3 linked regions of the Arabidopsis thaliana genome follow. The protein of the gene in region 1 purifies or fractionates together with the protein of each later gene. This does not show direct contact. Each region holds a gene or a part of one and is shown in the gene's direction. Other genes may lie near its edges.

Evidence for each region.
Region 2: the proteins of AT3G53870 (region 1) and AT1G45000 fractionate together in Arabidopsis thaliana (co-fractionation; one large-scale study listed by BioGRID). This does not show direct contact.
Region 3: the proteins of AT3G53870 (region 1) and AT1G04810 fractionate together in Arabidopsis thaliana (co-fractionation; one large-scale study listed by BioGRID). This does not show direct contact.

The regions. Positions count from the first base shown.
Region 1 is NC_003074.8:19,947,489-19,955,665, forward strand, and holds AT3G53870 (Ribosomal protein S3 family protein), read left to right. Parts: upstream 1-3,935; 5' UTR 3,936-4,058; coding exon 4,059-4,088; intron 4,089-4,180; coding exon 4,181-4,328; intron 4,329-4,403; coding exon 4,404-4,575; intron 4,576-4,809; coding exon 4,810-4,996; intron 4,997-5,081; coding exon 5,082-5,294; 3' UTR 5,295-5,530; downstream 5,531-8,177. Other genes in the region: AT3G53840 (Protein kinase superfamily protein), read left to right, coding at 1-231; AT3G53850 (Uncharacterized protein family (UPF0497)), read right to left, coding at 774-974, 1,072-1,204, 1,376-1,506; AT3G53860 (INO80 complex subunit D-like protein), read right to left, coding at 2,362-2,626, 3,202-3,782; AKR4C11 (NAD(P)-linked oxidoreductase superfamily protein), read left to right, coding at 5,750-5,869, 6,056-6,106, 6,441-6,517, 6,628-6,715, 6,884-7,159, 7,249-7,497, 7,597-7,683; AT3G53890 (Ribosomal protein S21e), read right to left, coding at 8,094-8,159.
Region 2 is NC_003070.9:17,005,169-17,013,345, forward strand, and holds AT1G45000 (AAA-type ATPase family protein), read left to right. Parts: upstream 1-3,882; 5' UTR 3,883-4,051; coding exon 4,052-4,154; intron 4,155-4,426; coding exon 4,427-4,546; intron 4,547-4,641; coding exon 4,642-4,778; intron 4,779-4,867; coding exon 4,868-5,029; intron 5,030-5,188; coding exon 5,189-5,275; intron 5,276-5,366; coding exon 5,367-5,453; intron 5,454-5,547; coding exon 5,548-5,685; intron 5,686-5,892; coding exon 5,893-6,084; intron 6,085-6,181; coding exon 6,182-6,280; intron 6,281-6,364; coding exon 6,365-6,439; 3' UTR 6,440-6,761; downstream 6,762-8,177. Other genes in the region: PME7 (pectin methylesterase 7), read right to left, coding at 337-480, 690-755; AT1G44990 (uncharacterized protein), read right to left, coding at 2,374-2,548, 2,591-2,640. UniProt on the Arabidopsis thaliana protein: The 26S proteasome is involved in the ATP-dependent degradation of ubiquitinated proteins. The regulatory (or ATPase) complex confers ATP dependency and substrate specificity to the 26S complex.
Region 3 is NC_003070.9:1,346,679-1,354,855, forward strand, and holds the start of AT1G04810 (26S proteasome regulatory complex, non-ATPase subcomplex, Rpn2/Psmd1 subunit), read left to right. Parts: upstream 1-3,401; 5' UTR 3,402-3,625; coding exon 3,626-3,771; intron 3,772-4,154; coding exon 4,155-4,224; intron 4,225-4,428; coding exon 4,429-4,534; intron 4,535-4,847; coding exon 4,848-4,956; intron 4,957-5,034; coding exon 5,035-5,203; intron 5,204-5,392; coding exon 5,393-5,853; intron 5,854-5,959; coding exon 5,960-6,095; intron 6,096-6,197; coding exon 6,198-6,446; intron 6,447-6,545; coding exon 6,546-6,766; intron 6,767-6,862; coding exon 6,863-7,121; intron 7,122-7,242; coding exon 7,243-7,475; intron 7,476-7,561; coding exon 7,562-8,060; intron 8,061-8,177. Other genes in the region: AT1G04790 (RING/U-box superfamily protein), read left to right, coding at 1-161, 264-362, 560-760, 849-937, 1,027-1,126, 1,221-1,319, 1,403-1,465; AT1G04800 (glycine-rich protein), read right to left, coding at 1,957-2,559. UniProt on the Arabidopsis thaliana protein: Acts as a regulatory subunit of the 26 proteasome which is involved in the ATP-dependent degradation of ubiquitinated proteins.

The DNA.
Region 1 (8,177 bases):
CGTGAGGAGGAAGATGTGAATTTGGTGGTGTTTGTGAGGAAGGCTTTGAAGGAAGGGAGATTGATGGATGTGATTGATCCGGTGATTGGGATAGGAGCGACGGAGAAGGAGATTGAGTCTATGAAGGCGCTTGGAGTTTTGGCGGAGTTGTGTGTGAAAGAGACGAGACAATGTCGACCAACTATGCAAGTTGCTGCAAAGGAGATCGAAAACATTTTACACGGAATTTAAATGTTTGTTGAAACGACGTTTTTGTGTTGTCGTTTAAGAATCTGTAAATAAATAATTTTGGAAGAGAATTTAGAGATGTTTCACTCTTCTTTGTACTAAACAGCAATGTTATTTGCGAATACCCGTTGCAACTTGTGCATTTGATTCGTAACTATTCGGAACAAAAAGATCGGAAAAAAGCTAGCGATAAAATGATGTGATCCTAGGTATAAGATGTTTCACCGATTGGAATTACTCTTCTTTGCACTAAACAGCAATGTTATTTGCGAATATCCCGTTGAAACTTGCACTAGATGATCGAATTCGGAAGACTCAATGACTAAAGCATCAATCATTGTGAACAAGGTAGTAGTAACTTTGTTTTTAAGTTCTAAGTAAGGTGTAGTGGTTAAGAGAGAAATGCCAATATGCAGCAGTAGCACTTGATTGCAAGAAACATTGATAGATTCGATTAGAAGCAGATTGTTAACGTCATCAAAAGCTACAAAGATGTCTCAACATTCCAAGAAGAAGAAAAAGTTGGGAGTTCTTTGCGAAACTAACTAAACCGAGGCTAAGATCCAAAATGTGACATGAGAAGAAACAGCAATCTGGATCCAAGTGACGAAAGAAAGCGCTACAGCTACTTCATACCTAAGACATGGATATTGGCTTTGAGTATTGCAATACTTGATATCTTTTTCATACAAGACTACAACTCCTGCTGATGAACATGCAGCTGCAAGAGATAACATTGCCGTCACCTGCAAAACAAGAAAAACAATTCTCAATCCTTTAAAAAATCATATCAAGAACACTGAATTTAATGTAGCAAAGCCATAAAAATGTGGTGTTGCATACCCAATCACCAACGACGAATAAGCTAACCAAGATAGGGTTTTGGAGATCTTTCTTTCCCCTGAGAGCATAAACATCAAGACATGCTAGCCCAAAGCTCCACAACAATTGAAGACCCATTGACGCAATCAAGTAGCTGAAACCAACCCCAAAATCATAATCAACATCAACGAGACTTGTACTACTACTAATAAACACCAAAATTGCTTGCAGAAATTCCACTACCATTTCTACTAAATCCGACAACTAAACGAACAAAACAAGGTTAAAGGAAACAAATCAAAACTTGAAGAAAGCGAAACCGTACCAAAAAGCAGTGTGAACAGAGAACTCTTTAGCAGAGACCATAACGCCGATTGAAGCAGCAGCTGAAGCACATTGTCCGATTCTCAGTAACAGACCACACACAGTTCCCGGACCTCCTAAAAGCTTCTTCATTTCAATCAATAACGACTCCAATTTCTCTTCCCAAACCCAGAAATTCCGACAAAATCAGCGAGGAAAGAGGAACAAAATCGAACAAAACCCTAGTTCAGCAAGTAAAAAGCTACATTTGCTTCAGGAGAAATTTTGGCGGGGAAAAAAAGAAATTGCAGAGGAAATTCATAGCTAAGAATAACCCTATAAGAGGATTTTGTCACCTACAAACAGAATTTCCCGAAACGGCTTAGATTCGATTATAAGCTAAGCTTCTTCCTTGTTTCTCCTTTGACATTCTCTTTTTCTTGCTTTGCTTTTTAGTGGACTGAGATAAGTGAGATAAGCATCCTACGTGGCAGCACAAACTAACTTTTTTTTTTTTTTTTTGTCTTTTTTTTTTTTTAGCGATTGTATTTGGTCGTTAAGAATCTGAAGTATTATTTGTTGTATTTTTGAGTTCTAAAAATGTGTATGCAAATGCAATGCCTTTTTGCCTGTCTCTATGTGGCTATTAGACCATTACATAAGTTTTCGTAGTAACTCGTAAAATTGATCAAAATTGCAACAAAACAGAGTTAAATTGAGTTCCAACACAAGTTAAGTGTTTGTGCTTATGGATCAAATATCATCATCTTATCAAGTCTTTACAAACAGTGGAATCATCATCTCAATAACTCCACTGTAATTAGACCTATCTTAAGCTACCCTACATTGTACCAAAACCTGTTCTTAATAGCTCAGTGCTGATAAAAGATCCGATACCAACACTGTAACAAATCCATCGCTAGTCAAATCTACTCACAAGAACTGAAAGAGATGGATCTCTAGAAGATATAGTAAGCCAATATATTATTTCTGGGAACGCGGCTTGACTCAGCTTGTCATTTCTTCCTTTACTACACTTTTAAGTTTACCCTCCTTATGTGGATTTTTTCTTTGTGCTTGAATGTGATGCACAAATGCAGCTACTATAACATGGAGCTTTGGGGGAGGCTTGCTTGTTGAAGAGACATTGTGACCAGCATCTTTTAAAGCTTTGGCAACATTCTTCTGTGCTTTCTGGTAGTGCACGTTACACAGTACAGGAACAGTCGATGCTAGTGTTGGTTTTCCACAAAGTAATGGTCCTGCTGGAGATCTGAATGTACAAAGCAAACAAATGCAGAGTTAGTAGAGAACCGCTCAAATAATCATCATGTGCTAATTACAAACCAGCATGAAAAAGTACATATCTATGAAATCTGGATTGTAACAAACCGAATCTGATAATAACAGTGTATCAATCTGAAACCAGGTTAATGTTGTATTCCAAGTCACTTACATTTTCAAAGAGCTCATCTCAATGTTCAGTTGGAACACATTTTCAAAGATGACATAATAATGCTAATAATACTCATAACCCTACCTCGTTTGCAAAGATACCTTAATAGAGACATCTTTGTCACTTATGTATATCAACGCAGCACATCAATCAAGGTTATGAAACAAGTCAAAGTACCGAATCTATATACGGTTACCAAAGCTAAAATTTTCTCCCAATCCCTACGGAAATCTTTGAAACAGAGCAAAGTCTCAATCCTAAAACCTTTCCGCAGGCTCAAAGAAGAAAGAAACTATTTCTTGGCACAAACATTGCTTTGCAGTTTCAATTCATCATCACTACAACATCTTAAACCGACTATACAATATAAAAGAACACAACTTGAAGCAAACCTGTTGATGACGTTTGTGCAACCAGTGTAGAGCTTCTGCTTACTATCCTTGAGAATATGCAATTGACAGTATTTGGTAAGCGCCATAGCTTTAGCTTTGCATCCATACATACAGAACCCGGAATTGCTGTTTGCATACTGATCACCATCATTACCCTTATCTCCACTACCTTCTGGATCAAGCCTCCGTCTCTTATTCGATTGATTTTGTTCGTCTTTAAACTGACTAACCCCATACTTACACCAATAATCCCTGTGTTGCGCCTTGAGATCCTCCATTAAAGCCCAATAATGGTTTTTATAACACTTGGCCAGCTGCTTTAGGTTGTCTGCTCGGCGTCGGAGAAGCTCTGGGCGTGTGAGGTGACTAGAGCTTGCGAGGATTTCATCTTCTTGTAACATCGTAATCGGTGAATTCGAGGTCGATGGTAAGACGTTTGTGCTAGGTTTAGGGTTCCGAATTTGGGGTTCAACTGAAGTGGAAGCCACAGCGGTGGAAGATGCAGCGTTGGAGGAAGACGGAGGTCTTGGGGGTTTCAAGGAGAAAGGGTTTTGCTCAGTGTTCTTGGCAGCTGACGCCATTGTCGTCGCCGGAAAATGATGACAGAGAAGATTCAAAATGCGAGATTTTTTTTTCTCTTAATTACTTGATTGAAAACATCCATGGGCCCAAACCAATTATTTAACTATTTTATCAATGTATGGGCCAAATTATTCAACAAATAGGCCCAAAGGAAATTGGATGTGAAACCTGATTTTCTGAATTAGGTCAAGTATAAGTACTAATAGCATCTCTTTCGAGATTACGCCGCTCATTTTTAGGGTTTCAGATATAGGCAGATTCTCACATTTGCAAACATGACGACTCAGATCAGCAAGAAGAGAAAGGTGAATTGTGTGATTCTGTTCATTTTGTTCTTTCAATGGATTTATCGTATTGGAACTGTTTTGGTAACTGTGTTGAGATTTTGATTTTGTAGTTTGTAGCGGACGGTGTGTTCTACGCTGAATTGAATGAGGTTCTTACAAGAGAGCTAGCAGAGGATGGTTACTCTGGTGTTGAGGTTAGGGTTACTCCTATGAGGACTGAGATTATCATCAGAGCTACACGTACTCAGAATGTTCTCGGTATGTTTTTGATCTTCGAGCTTAATCATTTCTTCTATTATACGGTAGTGACTGTAAAATTTGATTGTATTTCAGGTGAGAAGGGGAGGAGAATTAGGGAATTGACTTCCCTTGTTCAGAAGAGATTCAAGTTTCCAGTTGACAGTGTTGAGCTTTATGCCGAGAAGGTTAACAACAGAGGTCTCTGTGCCATCGCTCAGGCTGAGTCTTTACGTTACAAGCTTCTTGGTGGTCTCGCTGTTCGTAGGTACGACATTTCTCTAGTTCGTTTGCTATGTTACTTTGTTTGATCAGTTTAGTTTATCATTAGAGACTGATTTGGATAGGTTACTAGTGTATATAAGCATTCACCGATCGTTATAGTTGTATGTTTAGTATAGAGTAATTGTTCTTATAGACTCTGTATGGTTTCAAATAGGTATTGTCTAGCTTCTAAGTGTAATGACTTTAAGTTCTCATGCAATGGTTATATGTTGTATAGGGCTTGCTATGGTGTGTTGAGGTTTGTTATGGAGAGTGGAGCTAAGGGATGCGAGGTTATCGTGAGTGGAAAGCTTCGTGCTGCCAGAGCCAAGTCTATGAAGTTCAAAGATGGCTACATGGTGTCATCTGGTCAACCAACTAAGGAATACATAGACTCTGCAGTGAGACATGTTTTGCTTAGACAAGTGAGTTTCGTCTGAGTTGTTCTTATTAGAGTTAAGTAAAAAATCAACAACGTCTAATTAAAGTGTTGTTAAACCGAATATGTAGGGTGTGTTGGGAATCAAGGTGAAGGTTATGCTTGATTGGGACCCTAAGGGCATATCAGGACCAAAGACACCATTGCCTGATGTTGTGATCATTCATTCTCCTAAAGAAGAAGAGGCCATCTATGCACCTGCTCAGGTTGCTGCCCCGGCTGCTCTCGTAGCAGATGCACCACTCACAGCCGTAGATTACCCTGCGATGATCCCAGTCGCCTAAAAGAATCCTTTGTACTAGTCGATGTGATTTTGTTTTCAACTGTTCTTGCTCTTTTGACAGATTATAGCTTCTCGTATCTTCGAATCAGACACGTTTCCTCTGTTCTTATTCGAAAATTATCTCAAGTTTCCATTGTTGAAAAAGCCCTTTTTAGTTTCATAAATCATTCTCTCTTTGGCAAATTATTCTGAATTAATTCGTAATATTACAAGACCAGTTTGTCCAAATTTTGGTACATCCATCGAATTAACTAATCGTAATTACTAATTACTAATTACTCTCATCACATGAAATATGAAAACACAAGTATTTGCGTTTAGTTATATCCACGTGTTTGAATACTAACCGTCTGTTGTTATAAAACTCCGACGATTTTCCCGCTCCGTCGACACAAACCTCCTCCGTCTTTCGTAAAAGGTTCTCGAGATCTAAGTCTCACTTCTAAAGCTCTGACAATGGCGGACGAAATCGGATTCTTCCAACTCAACACCGGAGCAAAGATCCCATCGGTTGGTCTCGGGACATGGCAAGCTGCTCCTGGCGTCGTTGGAGACGCCGTCGCCGCCGCTGTGAAGGTTCTTCTGTGATTTTCCGTCTCATGGTTTCTCATTTGACTGATCCTTAGAGATCTTTGATTAGATGTTCTGATCCTTACATAGTTTGGTTTTTCCCTCAATATTGGTTGATCTTGGGATTTACGGATTGATTTGGAAATTCGTTTCAGTAGCAGAAGAACTTAATAATCATTTCGTTTTCTGCAGATTGGATATCAGCATATTGATTGTGCTTCAAGATATGGCAATGAAATTGAGGTAAAATTCACCGATCCGAATCTGTATCTTCCATAGTTTGCTTCATATAGTTCATCTTTTGACGGCTCGTTACTTGATTTGCCTTTATATAGAACAGTATATAGTATGATCGTTCTTACTCGATTGGCTGTTTTATGTAATTCTTACTAAGGTTAACCAATTTATATTTAGGAATGACAATTGCACACATTGTCTTGTGTATCTTTTTCTTAAACTAGCTTTAAGTTATGTAGGATTAATGGAGTTATTTGTTATAGACTGTTTACAAGTTCATTTGAAATGTGGCTTTTTGTTTTTCTTGATGGAGAAATTGAAAGCTTTTTTTAACCTGCAGATTGGGAAAGTTCTGAAGAAGTTGTTTGATGATGGCGTAGTGAAGCGTGAGAAGCTGTTCATCACATCAAAAATCTGGTATTTTGTTCATGAAGTTTCTGCATCTCTATCATTTTTATGCATTTTCAGTTTCCCTCGTTTGCTTAAGCCTCTTAACCTATTAAAATCTACAAATTATGCAAGCACAGGTTGACTGATCTTGACCCTCCGGATGTACAGGACGCATTGAACAGAACTCTTCAGGATCTGCAGCTTGATTATGTTGATTTGTATCTCGTAAGCACGACTTCTTTGAACAAATGCTGATTTTTTAATAAGTTCTAACAGTTTTCAAGATCCGTTCCTTTCTTCAATATCTAGCCTGAATTGTCCGGATCTCTGGATTTGAAACTATACATATGCTTGCTTATACTTTGATTTGTTTCATTTGATATTTTTTTCAAGATGCACTGGCCTGTTCGGTTGAAGAAAGGTACTGTTGACTTTAAGCCTGAGAACATTATGCCTATCGATATTCCGAGCACATGGAAAGCAATGGAAGCACTGGTTGATTCAGGCAAGGCAAGAGCCATTGGCGTAAGTAATTTCTCTACAAAGAAACTCTCAGATCTTGTGGAGGCTGCTCGTGTTCCTCCCGCTGTAAACCAGGTGGAATGTCATCCTTCATGGCAACAACATAAGCTACATGAGTTTTGCAAGTCCAAAGGGATCCACCTCTCAGTAAGTTTTAAAACACTAAACATTTCCAAATCATTTAATGAGTCCGAATGTCATATTTATATACACTTCGTGAATGTTGATTGTGGCAGGGATATTCGCCATTGGGATCTCCTGGAACAACGTGGGTGAAGGCCGATGTTTTAAAGAGTCCGGTTATTGAAATGATTGCTAAAGAAATCGGGAAGTCTCCCGCACAAACCGCGCTTCGATGGGGACTTCAAATGGGTCATAGTATACTTCCCAAAAGCACAAATGAAGGAAGAATCAGAGAGAACTTTGATGTCTTGGGATGGTCTATTCCAAAAGAAATGTTTGACAAGTTTTCCAAGATAGAGCAGGTAAGTGAAACAATAAACCACATTTCTGCAAATTTCGTATCTGTGAGTAGTCTTAACTGTAACCTCTTGTATTTTGGATTTTGAATCATCTCTGTGCAGGCTAGGTTAGTCCAAGGCACGTCGTTTGTTCATGAGACGTTGAGTCCTTATAAAACACTTGAAGAGCTTTGGGATGGTGAGATCTGAATCAAAAGATGTCTTTTGTTGAATTTTAAAGTTGAAAAAGAACAAAGTTCCACTGCTTTAAGCTTTGATCGAGAATGTGTAAACGATTCAATTTTCAATAAAAGTAGGATTTTGCAGACATATTAACAATCTCTTATGTTCATACAGTAAATCACTAATCCGAGAGGTTGATGATAGATAATCTAACAGTTATATTTGAAAGAGAAATATAGACGAGTATTAGACTGTAGATAGAATCTGATTCCATTGGCCTCAAAGCCTAATAATTATCTTTAATAAAGCAGAAAAATCGAAAACATGAATTCGCATAAAGAGAAACTAACATTTTCAATTCAATGACAAAGCCACATAGCTAATAAATCGAAACCTCAAAAAACAAACAAGAGCTTATGACATTGTCAGATTGTCTCTCACTGTTGTTTAGCTTCGACCTTCTTCTTCTGCCAGAGCCTGTCCACGCCACTGTCTGCGTCTCCCTGCAGATGCAATCATAA
Region 2 (8,177 bases), on another chromosome or scaffold:
TATAAAGATATGATGAGCTTTTTGTGATTATGATGCGCAAGTAACAACGTTTTTAATAAGAAAATTTAATGTAATGTTTTTAGAGAAATTACCTCTAATAGCTCCAAAAAATATTAATCAAGCTTTAGAAGAACAAACATCCAAAAATAAAATGAACATAATTTAATTTTTTCCATAATCAAATTAGTTTAGTGAATCTATTACACAAAGTGTATATATATTTACGTTTTTTCCTGAAAGATTGGTGTATTTTAAAGGTTACCAGTTTATAGATAGAAATCTAACTATACGATTATCAAATTATAACTGAAAAATATTAGGTTTTTGTTTTATCACCTCATCATTGAGATATAGATCTTTCTTGTCAACGTGAGATAACCAAGACGGGCCATTGGGAACCACCAAGTTAAGTTCGGTGTTGTCTCTCAGCGAAATAGAGATAAAAAGGGCTAAAGCTTCTCTTGCCCTAGAAGTGAGGTCCTCAAGCTCAGGATCGACCCGACGTTTATACATTCACCAATTTCGTCGATATATGTGATGTAGCTAGTAAGAACGCCACTGGAGCCAAGTGTGGACGTTTCAAGATCTAAGATTAGGGAATTCTCCTCCTAAGATTTCATTCACTGAACGGATCATTCTATTTTCTGCCACTCCATCATCTCCTCAAATAGATTTGTATCCTCCTTCACACCAAGCATATCATTCTCCATGTCCTCATGTAGTTTTGAATCTTCCATCACACCAATCATAGCCATGTCGATCCTCCGCACGGAATTTTTCAAAACGATGATCAATAACTCACGACGTCTCATCTCCGAGAGTGGTGCGGAAATCGTCTTAAGGTCCAACAAAAGGTTTTGACATGACTGTTCATCTCATTCTTTGCTAACGCCAATAACCGTTGTTATCATCAAGATCGAAAAAGAAAAAAACTTTAACCAACATTTTTGAAAGTTTTTTTTTTTCTTTCTTTCGTCTCTCTTTAGAATTTAGATTATGTGAACTGAGGAAAGAGGAGAGAGGTATGGTGGTCTTTTATACAAGCAAAACAACTAAATCAATTTACCTTTTAAATAATTGTATTCAATAAACGACAATAGTTAGGAAAAAAACTTAATTTTGAGATCAATCTAAACAGTTCAGTGCAATGTGAATTGAAGCTATAATTCAGTGAAGTTTGGTTTAATTATCTACAAAGAGCAATTCTTAATTGCGTTGTATTAGTTTCAAGAGCATTCCATTTGAAAGATTATTATGGTCATCTTTTCACATGCATAAAGTCATAAACTAATGAAAATTTCTTAGCAGTCAAAGAAACAATTATGCATGTGCAAGTGAAATAAATGTCTTAACTAAAACAAATTGGTAGATGATTGTAACTTTGTTTTATCTTTTCTTGTTTATAGATAGTTTTTGTTTGTATCTTTCTGAAAATAGTATAAAGACTAAAGTTGTATTTAATGTATGGTCTTAGAGCCATGAGGGTGGAGAGAGAGAAGTAGATTTTGACAAATTAAATAAATATATATATATATATATATATATATATATATAAATTTGGATTTGTCCAATATAATACAGATCAAAATAATTAAAAAAAAAAAAATCTTTGATCCTTGCAAATGAAAGTTTTGCAATATGTTTAGTTTAAAAACTATTTAACCTGTTAAAAACTAATTCTCTTTTTCTTTCTTTTTCAATTAGAAATAAACTCATTAAATCCAAGAAAAAAATTATTTTTGTAATTTTTGAATTGTTCAATAAGAATCCAAATTTTAGGCGCTAAAATCAACATTGAATCTTAAAGGTGTGATTGGTGGGAAGTGAGAACTAAAAAAAAAATAGAAAATGAAAAACTGAAAAAGTTAAGAAAAAAATAGAAAAGTGGTCCAAAAATTTCAACTAATAAAAGATAGAAAGAAAAATTGTCTTACTTTATCCTTTTTAAGAGAAATTTAGCTTGAATACTTGTTTTCCATGTACTTTAAATGGCTAAAAATGAATTTGGTAGAAATTGGTTTCATCCATTTTAGTTTAGGCTAACAACAATGCAATATATTCTCAACCTTAATCTCTTGCGTGTGAGGACAATATATTTTAGTTTACGCTAACAACAAGACAATATATTCTCAACCTTAATCTCTCGTGTGTGAAGACAAGACATAGCCATTATTATTCTAGTACTAAATAAGACAATATATGCCTAATAAATAGAAAACCCGTAGGTGTTTTTTGGAGTAAAAAAACATTAAGTGAAATTTGTAAAACTAACCAACAAATAAATTATAATTAAGAAACAAAAGAGGTATGATATTCTGTGTATAAACTACAATATAAACTAAAATACCCTTATTTTTTCTTGTTTTTTAGTCATTACTCTAGTACACTATAATTACCATCACCACCATGCGCTGCAACCATCACCATCATCGCAATTCGCAACCACCATCGCCATGTCGTCACCAGCACTACCACTGCAACTGTCGCCACCATACCAACAACCATAGCGCTGTCACTACTACAACCATCACCATCATCACCACCGAAACTGCTACACCACCGCAACCACCTTAATCACGATCATTATTACCATATTGCTACTACCCCGACCACCGTAACCATCACCACCGCAATCACCATCACCACTATCAAAACAACCAGCACGTCGTTACCACTACCACCACCATCGTCAGTCCGTCACCACCACTATCACCAATTTTTGAATAGTTAATAACTTTTTCTTTTTTTTTTATCTAGAACACTTTGTCCTATACTATTTATTCTATTCTATATACCGTTTTTCATTTGAAAATATACATCATTTTCAATTTTTGAGTTTATACAAGTTTTACACATATAATTATGGTTTGGGTATAAGTTTTTTTGGTTTAGCATTTAGTATATTAAATTAAAATTGATTTATGAATGAGTTATGAAAAATAGTACAATATATTCTTGTTCTATTCCTATACATCCTAAATAGTACAACATATTTTTACTTACACATACTATTCACCATTTCACAAATTTACATCTAATTTTAAAATTTTAAACTATGCAATATGTAGAAAAATATGGTTTTTGTGCAAAAAATCCTACAATACAATTTTTTTTTAACCCTTCAATTAAAAAAAAATGCAGGTCAATACTACCAACTTGAAAAGTGAGCCGCAATATAAACTACGTCGTTTTGGATATTTTAAAATAAAAAGGAATGTTTCAAGAGTGTTTTGAACTCAGGACCTCTAGAAGATATAAAACCTTACCTAACCAATTGTGCCACATAAAATTTATAAACTCTTAACAATAAATAAATATATATATATATATATATATATAGACAGCCTTTATGTTCAACCTGACCAATGCAACCAACGATCTCATCAGAATCACGCCCCTACATATCGCATGATTCAATTTTGTAGGCTCTACAACCTTCCATTGAGATGGCAAACCGCCATTGGTTGTTTAAAATCTTATGTAGACGCTCTAGAAGAAAATAGTCTCGACTTTTTTTTTTTTTTAAAAGAGCAGTTATGTATTTGAGAATGTGCCGGAGAAAAAAAACAATACTATTATATATCAGAATTGAATAATACATATGATAAATCATATATATAATGGATAAGGCTAATGTGAGTGTATAAGTCTCCAATGCTTCAAGCTGATTGTACCACCAAATCTTTTTCAAAAAACTAAAAATTAAAAATTAAAAATAATTAAAATTTTCAAAAAATCAGAATTTAGGCAGAACAAATTGCAATAAAGTTTTTATTTCTTGTTTCTACAAATTAAAATATTTCTGGACGTATTTTTTAATCTTAAGAAGATAGGTTTCTTTAATTAATTTTTTATTCTTTATTTTAATTTTTGGAATTGAACAGAAGCTGATGAAGTGAATGATAACGGATCCACCCAGCCGGACCCAAATAGCCCCAAAAGCCCTTAATTCATAGCTAACTTAACCCATTCCTCAAGAAAACAAAATTACTTTAAAACAGAAAAAAAGTTGATAAATTGCTTCAGTGTCAAATTCTGAGATCTGTAAAAGATGAGCGACGGAGACGACGCTGCTAGACGCCGTACCGCGGCGGTGACTGATTACCGGAAGAAGCTCCTTCATCACAAGGAGCTCGAATCCCGTGTCCGAACAGGTTCGATTTCAAAATCTTCCTCATTCTCCTCTTTCGTTTTCTGGGTTTAGTTTGTGGGTCAAAATCGAATCTAGGGTTTTTTCCTACTCTTCGTTCCCATTAGAAATCTCGAGACTTTACTTCAATTAGTGACGCGATTTTAGGGGTTTTGGAGTTTCGAATTGAATTGGTTCCACCGTTTGTTTCACTTGATTAGTCAATTTTGAAGTCGATCTCAAGCTTAATTTCACTTGTTATAGTTCTTATAAACTGGGTCTTGTGGTTATATGCAGCTAGGGAGAATTTAAGAGCAGCTAAGAAGGAATTCAACAAAACTGAGGATGATTTGAAGTCTCTTCAAAGCGTTGGCCAGATTATTGGAGAAGTACTACGTCCTCTTGATAACGAGCGATGTAATTTTCTATCTTGCTACCTTATGTTTTTGATTGAATACTACACTTTGTGTTTTCTATCATCTAAAGGTGGAATTTTTTCTTCTTCTTTTTAGTGATTGTTAAGGCAAGTAGTGGCCCTCGTTATGTGGTGGGTTGTCGTAGCAAGGTGGACAAGGAAAAGCTTACTTCTGGAACTCGAGTTGTCCTGGATATGACTACGCTGACAATTATGCGAGCCCTTCCTCGTGAAGTATGCTTGATTTCAGTATTTTTGCTTTTTTTTTTTGTAGCTGCTTAGTGTATTTGTACTGGTTTTAATTCGATGGTATGTGTTGGTAGGTTGATCCTGTTGTTTATAACATGTTGCATGAAGATCCAGGCAACATTAGTTACTCAGCTGTGGGTGGTTTAGGTGATCAGATCAGAGAACTTAGGGAATCTATTGAGCTGCCTCTCATGAATCCTGAACTTTTCCTTAGAGTTGGGATTAAACCTCCTAAGGTACTTGATCTCTCTCCAGTCCTTTCTTTTGTTTTCACAAACTATCTCATGATTCACTTTTTATGTTTCCCTGTGCCGTGGTTACCTGCATGAATGGCTAAAAAGAGTTGAAACGCACTTCAATTTCCATAATGCTAATTTTCATTTCTCTCATTCCAGGGTGTCCTTCTGTATGGACCTCCGGGTACTGGAAAAACTCTACTAGCTAGGGCTATTGCCAGCAATATCGACGCCAACTTCTTGAAGGTTTGATTTTGTTGTTGAAGGTTTGGTTTGGTGTTCTTTTTATTATACCTTGTCTGTGCTAAATAAGCTCTTTTTTTACCTTTATGTTTAGGTTGTATCTAGTGCAATCATAGACAAATACATTGGAGAAAGTGCTAGGTTGATTCGAGAAATGTTTAACTATGCTCGTGAACATCAGGTAGAATACCATCTCTTTCCTCTTGTCTTATACCTTGATATGCTTTATATTGAAGTTCATGAATTGTCTCTTAACACTCCTTCTTGGGGGCTAGCCTTGTATCATTTTCATGGATGAAATCGATGCTATTGGTGGACGCCGTTTTAGTGAAGGAACTAGTGCTGATCGTGAAATTCAAAGAACACTTATGGAGTTACTTAACCAGCTTGATGGGTTTGACCAACTTGGAAAGGTATGACCTATAGTTTTAGAATAGTACTCGTGCATAAAACTGAGTGGTTACGGTGTGAAACTTGCTTGTTGGGGATAACTTAGTTCAAGGTAGTTTTGTTTTATAACTCATGTTTCAAGTGGTTACTTTCATTGTTAAATTTATCTGTTTCCCAAAATTATTTGTACAATGGAATATCTTCTGATACTTGGGAGATAATACTATTAGGTGAAAATGATAATGGCCACCAACAGGCCGGATGTTCTTGATCCAGCACTTCTCCGTCCGGGTAGGTTAGATAGAAAGATCGAGATCCCGTTGCCAAATGAACAATCAAGAATGGAAATCCTCAAGATCCACGCATCTGGCATTGCCAAGCATGGAGAAATAGACTATGAGGCTATCGTGAAACTTGGAGAGGTTTGTTTGTTTTTCTTAAATGTCACTGCGTTGTAGTTTTTGCCTTTGTTATATATTATAGATCCCACTGATTGTTCCATTCAATCAACATCCTTAGGGTTTCAATGGTGCCGATCTGCGTAACATATGCACTGAAGCTGGAATGTTCGCAATCAGAGCAGAGCGTGACTATGTAATACATGAAGACTTCATGAAGGTAGAAACAAAAATAAATACTCCGCATGTTTACATATTTTTTTGTACCCAAACTTTTCTGCTTATCAAATTGTCTGTTGTACAGGCTGTGAGAAAGCTGAGCGAGGCCAAGAAGCTTGAGTCGAGCTCTCACTATAACGCGGATTTTGGGAAAGAGTAAGAAAAGAATAAGCTCAGAGAAGAAGAGAGGGCCTAAAGGGCAGTGAAAAACTCTGTTATTCACTTTGAAAAAACAAGCTGATGATTCTGTTTCAGTTTCTCAATGTTTTGTTTTGAGGTTCTAGTAAACACAAAAATTCTTGTTTTAGTAATGACAACTATTTTCTGTTTGTCCTATATTTTTTTATTTTATTTTCTGATCAAACATGCATCCTGTATATCTAAAATGTCAGAAAACTCAAGTGTCGTAATCACAAATCTTAGCAATGATTTTTCATATAAAAAATGTTACAAAAATCAATTATTAATTTATAATATTAGTGGGACCATATTTTTATATAAGATTTTTTAAAAAAATTATTATCTTATTATTTTATCGATTTTAGTTAATTTTTATATTTGTCCGATCTGGAACTAGCAAAATTTATTAATTTTTCTTGTTTATTAATTTATAAAATTTATACTGTATTCCTATCAATAACGATGAGTGCTACAAATGTGTGAAATGCGATTCAGATCTTCACAAAGTATTTGCTAGCCTTCCTTGCAAAAAATATTTACTGCACAACTATAAACTCATTCTACAACTTCTGTGAGCTAATCATATCCTATTACGAATGATCAATATAACTTTTACGACTAAGTAATCATTTCTATAGCTTTTTATGGTGAACGATTTTGTCGACGACTTTATAACTGTCAGTTCTATATGTACCACAAAGATTAACAATAGATGGTTCTACATGCTGATGGTAGACAATTTTACTCTTTTGAAAAATGAACCATAATGAACGTTAATTTTTGTCTTAATCTATTGACAAACGTAAAAGCATCCTCAACGGTGAGGCTCTCTGAAATGATCATTGGATTAATAGAAAATATTAATTTTATGATTTTCTTATTTAATTAAATTTATAATAATTAATTGAATTCCATCAATAGATCAAAACATGGTGAATCATCAAGAGACTCAAACATCCATCCTTTCACTGGACCTGCTTTTGCAACAAATACACCTCGTCTGGTTGAAATTGGTGAATCATCAAGGCAAAGTGAGAATACAGTGTCTGAGCACTTGATGGAAAAAGGGGATTCATCTAAGAGAAAGAATATGGCTGGTCCTAGGAATGAAGAAACTGTTAGGCAACACAAGCATCAAGATAAAGATCAAATGATAGGAGGTATTCTGAAACCTCCTAAAAAACGTTAACACTCTGCTAATTCTGTCAAAGTTTTTGTTTAGGCTGCAATGGAGGCAGCTTAAGGCGTATTGGTTTTTTGATTTAGGCTGCTTTGGTAACTAGTTTAGTTCGGCAGCTGTTGCTTTGAATAACTATGCGGATATGGTCATGTATTAATTTCTGGTTATGGCATATCTGCTATAGTTTCGTTTGCTTTGAGTTCAAGTGGAGACAGCAGCTCCTGGGTTGCAGAACGATGAGGATAGGGTCATTTTAAGACTTTTTGGTAATGACTTATCTGTTGTTGGTTCTGTTTAAACATGGAGTTCTTGTTGTTTTAGTTTCAATTCCATGTTGTAGTTTTCTGAATGTTGTCTTATGCTGTAGTGGAAGTTCCACTTTGTAACTTTTACAAAACTGGTTTGAATAAAAGGCAACTTATGAGAAAAAAAAAAAAAGATCAAAACATGTGGTAAGTGAAGTCTTAAAAAGTAAAGACACGGCTCTTAAACGAGAGGTTTAAAGTCGGTTGTTTCACGAGTGGGTCTCTCTCCATTT
Region 3 (8,177 bases), on another chromosome or scaffold:
TTGAAGATTCATCTCCTGAAGTAAGGGTCTTCCGGGGTCCCAGACGTGTTGAAAATGATGTATCTGATGTGAATATAAGACAAATAGAAGCAGATGAGATACTGGCCCGTGAATTACAAGAACAGCTGTACCGAGAAGAGTCGTTGATCAGACACGAGCAGGTACATTTTCCAAGCTCCCTTTTGTTTGGATATCCTCTATATGTTCCATCCTTTTATCAATCAAGGTTTCCAATGGTCTTATTTCTTCATATGTGGTAACAGATCGATGAAATCATAGCCAGGTCGATGGAACAAGAAGAGAATTCTCTCCGGGCTTCTTCTAGTCGTGCTTCTACTCGTATTACCCGAAGCTCTAATACCGTAAGTCATGGATAAGAAAATTTCCTGTGTTTGCGTCTTTTTTACCTGGTTCTTTCGATTTTCTGTGTTCAGATGCGAGACTAATCTTTATCAAACATGAAAGAGTTCTTTCGTAAACTTGCACTTAAAAAGAATCTGGCTTTAGGGATCATGTTAGTCTCATCCGTTGTTTTAATGCCAATGTATATTAATTACAGATCGCAGCAAATCCACGTGGGAGAAGTCGCCTGGAAGCACGACTGCAACAACATTCTTCAAGGAGGCGATTCAATCCTCCACAGGCTCGTGCTCCTGTTAGAGCACCAGCACGGGGTCGAGGTTATCGTTTAGGCGGTGCATCTGCTTCACTACGTACAGCTCTGAATTTCAGTTTTCCAATTGATATGGGCTTAGACTCGGTACTCTTTTTAACTCCGTTTATATCCTGAATGTTGCCTAATGTTGTTAAGTACCGTAGAATCATCCTTACCCTTTTTAATGTAACAGAGAATGGATATTCTGGAGGAATTAGAGAATGCTATTGGACACTCCATTACCAGTAGTAATCTTCTTCATATGGATCGTGACTTTACTGAGTATGGTATCTTATTGATAGAATTTCGTCATTATCTTACTATGATTCTTCAATATATGAAGCTTGATAGTTCAACCATTTCCGGTGCAGAGATGATTACGAATTGCTGCTAGCTCTTGATGAAAACAACCATCGACATGGCGGTGCTTCTGCTAATCGCATTAACAACTTGCCAGAGTCTACAGTTCAAGTAAGCTAAAGGTTCACTTGTAAAATTCAGCTTTTTCATATCGAAATTTTGTTACTAAAAGCTTCTATTTGATTGCTTATGTGTTAATTTGCAGACTGATAATTTTCAAGAAACTTGTGTTATCTGTCTGGAAACTCCGAAGATTGGAGACACCATACGTCATCTTCCTTGTTTGCACAAATTCCACAAGGATGTAAGGATCTTTACTGATTCAAATGAAAACCCCTTATTAAGAACAGAGATTCGAAAAGTAACCATTGTTTATTTATTGTGCAGTGCATTGATCCATGGCTAGGACGGAGTAAATCATGTCCGGTTTGCAAATCCTCAGTTACTTGACAAGGTTTTCAAATTCATCGGAGAATTTGAAAACTACCATTTTACCCTTCCAAACCGGTCGATCTCTGGAATCATTTTGCGGGTAAGTCAAACATTCTTGGCCATCAAATTTGAACTCATTAAACGGGGTTTTACTACCGTTTACGCGCGAGGGATGATTATCTGTGTATCTCTGTGATTATTTTCTCGGGTTTAAATATATCTAGCTAAGAACTTTTTGTAGATTAAGAAAGTTGATACTACCACTTATTCACTTTAGTTTAAACATATACCTTTTAAAATCAATTTAAATGCACAAGGCTTTGTTTAATCGTTTTATTCACTTTACTTGCACGAAGAAGCAAGATACAATCATATTCAAAGAGTAAAACAAACTAAAGAGAAACGACATACATTTCAGTTATTGTTACATATATAACGAATTAGTTTTCTTAAATGACATGCATTGGATTTTAGCTCCTCATCAATGCACATTACGGTTAAACAAATTCTCAGTGACCTCCGCCGCCAATTCCTCCACCAATTTCTTTACCGGCTCCTCCGCCGATTCCTCCAATGGCTCCACCGTCAACTCCTTTACCTGCTCCACCGTCAAATCCTTTTCCGACTCCTCCCTCAATTCCTTTTCCGATTCCTCCCTCAAATCCTTTGCCGACTCCTCCATCAAATCCTTTTCCGGCTCCACCGTCAACTCCTTTGCCAACTCCTCCATCAAATCCTTTCCCGGCTCCACCGTCAACTCCTTTACCGGCTCCACCGTCAACTCCTTTTCCGAAGCCACCGTCAACTCCTTTACCGGCTCCACCTCCGAATCCTCCTCCACCAAATCCACCGCCTATTCCTCCACCAAAGCCTCCAACACTGCCTCCAATCCAACCGCCACCTGCTCCAAAGCCGCCTCCACCGCTGATACCACCACCACCACCTAAGTCGCCGAATTCTTTTTTAAAGCCCTTCTTGTGGAGGAGAGGATGAGGGTGAGGGTGAGGAAACAAGGGCTTCTCATCACCAAACTCTGCTTCTCCCATAGTAAAATCTGTGACCAAAGCAAACACCAAAACAAACACACGCACTTTACCGGCGATTAGACCCATTGTTAGTGGAAACTTAAAATGTTTGTAGTTAAAATATTAGAAGCTATTGGAAGAGGATGTTTTGATACGAAATTGCTTCTTGCATGAGCAGTATATATATAGACTTAGAGAGAGATCGTGATAGCATAAGCACTTTTCGTCAATGTGCATGGATTCAACCTGTACAACAACTAGGATATAATTGCTGTTGAGTAAAAACAGTTAAAGATGTTTCACCGGTCACTGGACAAGTTTTATGTTTCATTGTCTGCCCAACTGCCATATTGATCTCATCCAACACAAAGAGAAAAATATGATGCAAATATAGTTGAAAAATTGAAGAACATATGACACCAATTATTATATACAGTTCCTTGAATTATATTAATCATACATTCATATCAATTATATTAAAATTTAATTTGAAGGTTGTCCAGGTTTCAGAGGGCAATAACTAAAAATGAAAATGTTTCTGCATGTCTATTCATAATTTCATATTAAGTGAAAACTCGTATGGTCTAAGAGAAAATATTTACTAGAAAATAATTCTGACTTGATAAAAGATGTAGTCGCTTTATAGGTTGGAGGACAGGCCATGTCAATCTATGGAATATTGAACTATCTATATAAACCCTAAAATGTGATTTCATTTATTTGTGAGCTTTAGCTTTTTAGGTGTCATCAATCAATGATGTAAACTAGAAACTCATATGCTATACTTCCAAACAAACCAATAAAGTTTTTATTATGGGCCGCTAGATTGGTCCATTAACACTATAAGATATATAGTCTGGCCCATCATTAGACCCAATTTTGTATTCCGACTTTATGATTTTGTTTGGATCCATCATATATATTTGGGGTGAAAGTGTAATCTTATTAAACATTTAGGGGTATTGGTAAAAATTACTTGACTTGTTGGGTAAGTATCTTAATATTCGATAAGTCTAGAATTTCGATTTTGATTAGACTTGTGAAAAAGTGAACTCAGAAATTGTGCTCGCCCAAAGTAGTTCGGTTCTTGTGTTCCTCCGTCTGATCAACTCTTCTTCTCCACCTCTAGGTTTCTAATTTTCCGATTAGGATAATGGCCGCCGCCATGGTTAGTTCCGCCGGTGGGTTACTGGCAATGCTCAACGAACCCCATCCTTCCTTGAAACTTCACGCTCTCTCATATCTCATCAGATTGGTTGACCAATTTTGGCCCGAGATCTCCACTAGTGTCCCAATCATGTATTCAATTCTCTCTTCTCTTTTTTTTAATTGTTTCCCTTCGTGAGGCTATTCTGTTTGCTTACTGGGAGTAAAGCTTATGGGATTTGGATGAGTTTTAGCACTCTTGATATTTCTTAGTTAGGGTATTACATTCCAAGTTTTTCCACTCTTGTGTCGAGTTAGATTTGAATGCGTTAATTCACAAGTGACAAACTTTATTGAATTGCTTTACTTAATTCTGTTGATTCTGAATAGAACCATTGTTATCTGGGCTAAGGACGCTCCCTTACCGTCATGATGCGGAAAATTTGTTCTTTTGAAAGTTGTAGAGACTCTACTTTTGCTTGAGATCTTAAACTGTTTTTGTGCTATTCTGAGACCTTTTTTTGATTTTTTTGTAGAGAGAGCTTATACGAAGATGAAGAGTTTGATCAGCATCAAAGACAGCTTGCTGCCTTGTTGGCCTCCAAGGTACAGTTTATCTTTTTATTTAACTTACATGATGACTGGTTTTATATAAATTGTTAGTGGAGATACGAGTGCCAGTTAAACGGATACCTTAAAAGCTGGTAGATTGCTACAGAAGTTCAGAGCTTGAATTTCCTGTAATCAAGTTATGTTATTGTATTATAAGACTTGTTTTCTAACGTTTATGTTAATCTTGTTTTATCTCAGGTTTTCTATTACTTGGGTGAGCTTAACGATTCCTTGTCCTATGCCCTTGGAGCTGGATCCTTGTTTGATGTGTCAGAGGATTCTGATTATATTCATACTCTTCTATGTAAGGATTTTGAAGTTTGCTACTTTCTTCTCTTCTACTTTTTTTATCCAATTCTGTGACAGTAGACACTAGCTCGGTTATCATTCTTAATAGGCGTAAATTCAAAATCATTCCAACCTGATTAAATGGAAGATTAAGAAAATAGTTTATACGATATATTTTCTAACTAATAAGACTTGAACGTCCATCTTTCTTTTAATAAGATTGTGCTGCTAGAAAGTTACGCAAAGACATGATAAGATAGTGATCTTACAGTTACTAACTGTTTAATGTTGAATGTTTTACTCATGGATGCTTCTGTTTTCCTTATCAGCCAAAGCAATAGATGAGTATGCTATTCTCAGATCAAAGGCAGTCGAGTCAAGTGAGGTGGTGGAAATTGACCCGAGATTGGTGGCCATTGTTGAACGAATGCTAGACAAGTATGGGATGCAGAATTTATTTATTTATGTCTGTCTACAAGTTTTTCGTTTTTCCTTACATGGTTTTCTGTTTTATAGATGTATCACTGACGGAAAGTATCAACAAGCCATGGGCATTGCTATAGAATGCCGGAGATTGGATAAGTTGGAGGAAGCGATCATAAAGAGTGAGAATGTGCAGGGAACATTATCTTACTGCATCAATGTTTCCCACTCTTTTGTTAATCAAAGAGAATATAGACATGAGGTGAGTCTGGTGGCCACAAAACTGGATTTTAATAGATGTATTATGTTAATGATACTATGAGCTCATCTTCTTTATTCTTTTCTTACAAATATAATGGTTATAATTCATTGCATTCTTTATGTCAACTCAAAACATTTTTGTAGGGGCTGTTAATTTGTAAATGATAACATCCTTACTTCGTTCTTGCAGGTTCTTCGGTTACTTGTTAATGTTTACCAGAAGCTGGCTTCTCCTGATTATTTGAGCATTTGCCAATGCCTTATGTTCTTGGATGAACCACAAGGCGTTGCAAGCATATTGGAGAAGCTTCTTCGTTCAGAGAACAAAGATGATGCTTTATTGGCTTTCCAAATCTCTTTCGATCTTGTACAGAATGAGCACCAGGCATTCCTCATGAGTGTTAGAGATCGCCTTCCAGCGCCCAAGACCCGTCCTGTAGAAGCAATTCAAGCTGTTGAAACCTCTACTGCTCAGAATGAGAACACTGCAGGGGATGTTCAGATGGCGGATGAAACTCCATCTCAGACAATTGTGCATGAAACAGATCCTGTTGACGCTGTGTACGCTGAGAGGTTAACAAAGGCTAAGGGGATTTTATCTGGAGAGACATCAATACAACTGACACTCCAGTTTCTTTACAGCCATAACAAGTGAGGCAGTTTATTTACCTTTTTTGATATCTCGAAGGATATTTCATTCTTAAGTCGTTTCTTCCACATAGTAAAATTTACAGCAATGGCCATTGTTTCTTTGTAGATCGGACCTGCTGATCCTGAAGACAATCAAACAATCTGTTGAGATGCGGAACAGTGTATGTCACAGTGCTACAATTTATGCTAATGCTATAATGCATGCTGGAACGACAGTTGACACTTTTCTCAGGGAGAATTTGGTAAAATTTATTTTCTCTACCACTTTTTAACTTGTTTCAACGTCAACTATGTGGCATATTATTTAATCTTCTTTTCTTTTCCATTCATGTTTGAATTGTCAGGATTGGCTAAGCAGGGCCACCAATTGGGCCAAGTTTAGTGCTACAGCAGGATTAGGTGTTATTCATAGGGGTCACTTGCAACAGGGCAGGTCACTGATGGCCCCATACTTGCCTCAGGGCGGAGCAGGTGGTGGCGGGAGTCCTTATTCCGAAGGGGGTGCTTTATATGCTCTCGGCCTTATTCATGCAAACCATGGTGAGGGAATCAAGCAATTTCTTCGTGATAGTCTACGCAGCACTAGTGTTGAGGTGATTTGCTATATCTTTCTTCTGGATAGTCTTCCGTTATATCACCAAAAAGATAGTCTTTTGTTTAGAATGATTTTCATTAAAAAAATATGGTTGCAGGTTATTCAACACGGAGCTTGTTTAGGTCTTGGTTTGGCTGCTCTTGGGACAGCTGATGAAGACATATATGATGATATCAAAAGTGTGCTTTACACTGACAGTGCTGTTGCTGGTGAAGCTGCCGGCATAAGCATGGGTCTATTGTTGGTTGGAACAGCAACTGATAAGGCAAGTGAGATGCTCGCTTATGCTCACGAGACTCAGCATGAGAAGATAATAAGGTAACTAAAGTCTGGAATATATTTTTGGCTATGTGTGTGGGTGCATGGTAATTTATTTCAATGTTTTAAGTAACCAACATCTGGTTTTGTGTTTAGGGGATTGGCTCTAGGAATAGCTCTCACAGTATATGGAAGAGAAGAGGGAGCAGATACTTTGATTGAGCAGATGACTAGAGATCAGGATCCTATCATCCGTTATGGTGGAATGTATGCACTCGCATTGGCTTACAGTGGAACTGCAAACAACAAAGCCATCCGCCAACTTCTTCACTTTGCTGTGTCTGATGTCAGTGACGATGTTAGGAGGACTGCTGTTCTTGCACTTGGATTTGTCTTATACTCTGATCCAGAGCAGGTAACTCCATATTCTTTTTGTCTCATTAACTTCTTGACACTATATTCCATTTCTTTAGTGCCTTTAGGGCTCTTGTGCTCGCTTACAGTCATTAACTGGTGGCTCAATATTTAAACTGTAGACTCCCCGTATTGTATCCCTTCTTTCCGAGTCGTACAATCCACATGTCCGCTATGGCGCAGCTCTTGCAGTTGGCATCTCTTGTGCAGGCACTGGTCTGAGTGAGGCGATATCTTTGTTGGAGCCACTTACATCAGATGTTGTAGACTTTGTTCGTCAAGGTGCTCTGATTGCCATGGCCATGGTGATGGTCCAAATTAGTGAAGCAAGCGATTCTCGCGTTGGAGCATTTAGGTTAGTGAAGTTCCGATCTCTTCATCAATTGGAGGGAGTGAGAATAGTTCTCTTTTGAAGACTAAAATTTGTCTGTGCTTTTGCAGGCGTCAACTTGAGAAGATAATACTTGACAAGCATGAAGATACAATGAGCAAGATGGGAGCAATTTTGGCTTCAGGTATTCTTGATGCTGGTGGAAGGAATGTGACGATAAGACTGCTGTCTAAGACAAAACATGACAAAGTCACTGCAGTCATTGGCCTTACTGTCTTCAGCCAGTTTTGGTATTGGTACCCATTGATTTACTTCATAAGCTTGGCGTTTTCACCCACCGCCTTCATCGGTTTGAACTACGATCTCAAAGTCCCAAAGTTTGAATTCATGTCACACGCAAAACCATCGTTGTTTGAGTATCCAAAACCAACTACGGTTGCTACTGCCAACACCGCTGCCAAATTACCAACTGCTGTGCTCTCAACCTCAGCCAAAGCCAAAGCTAAGGCTAAGAAAGAAGCAGAGCAGAAAGCTAAAGCTGAAAACTCTGGCAATGAAGCTGGAAAAGCCAATGCAGCGTCAGATGAGAAGGAAGCAGAGTCTATGCAGGTAAAATGCAAATCTAATTCCCAACATCTTCGTATCTGTTTGAGTTGAAAAATTGCTCTTAACATTTTTTACTTTGGGAAATGCTGTTCCTATGATTAATCTCAAGGTCATGATCAA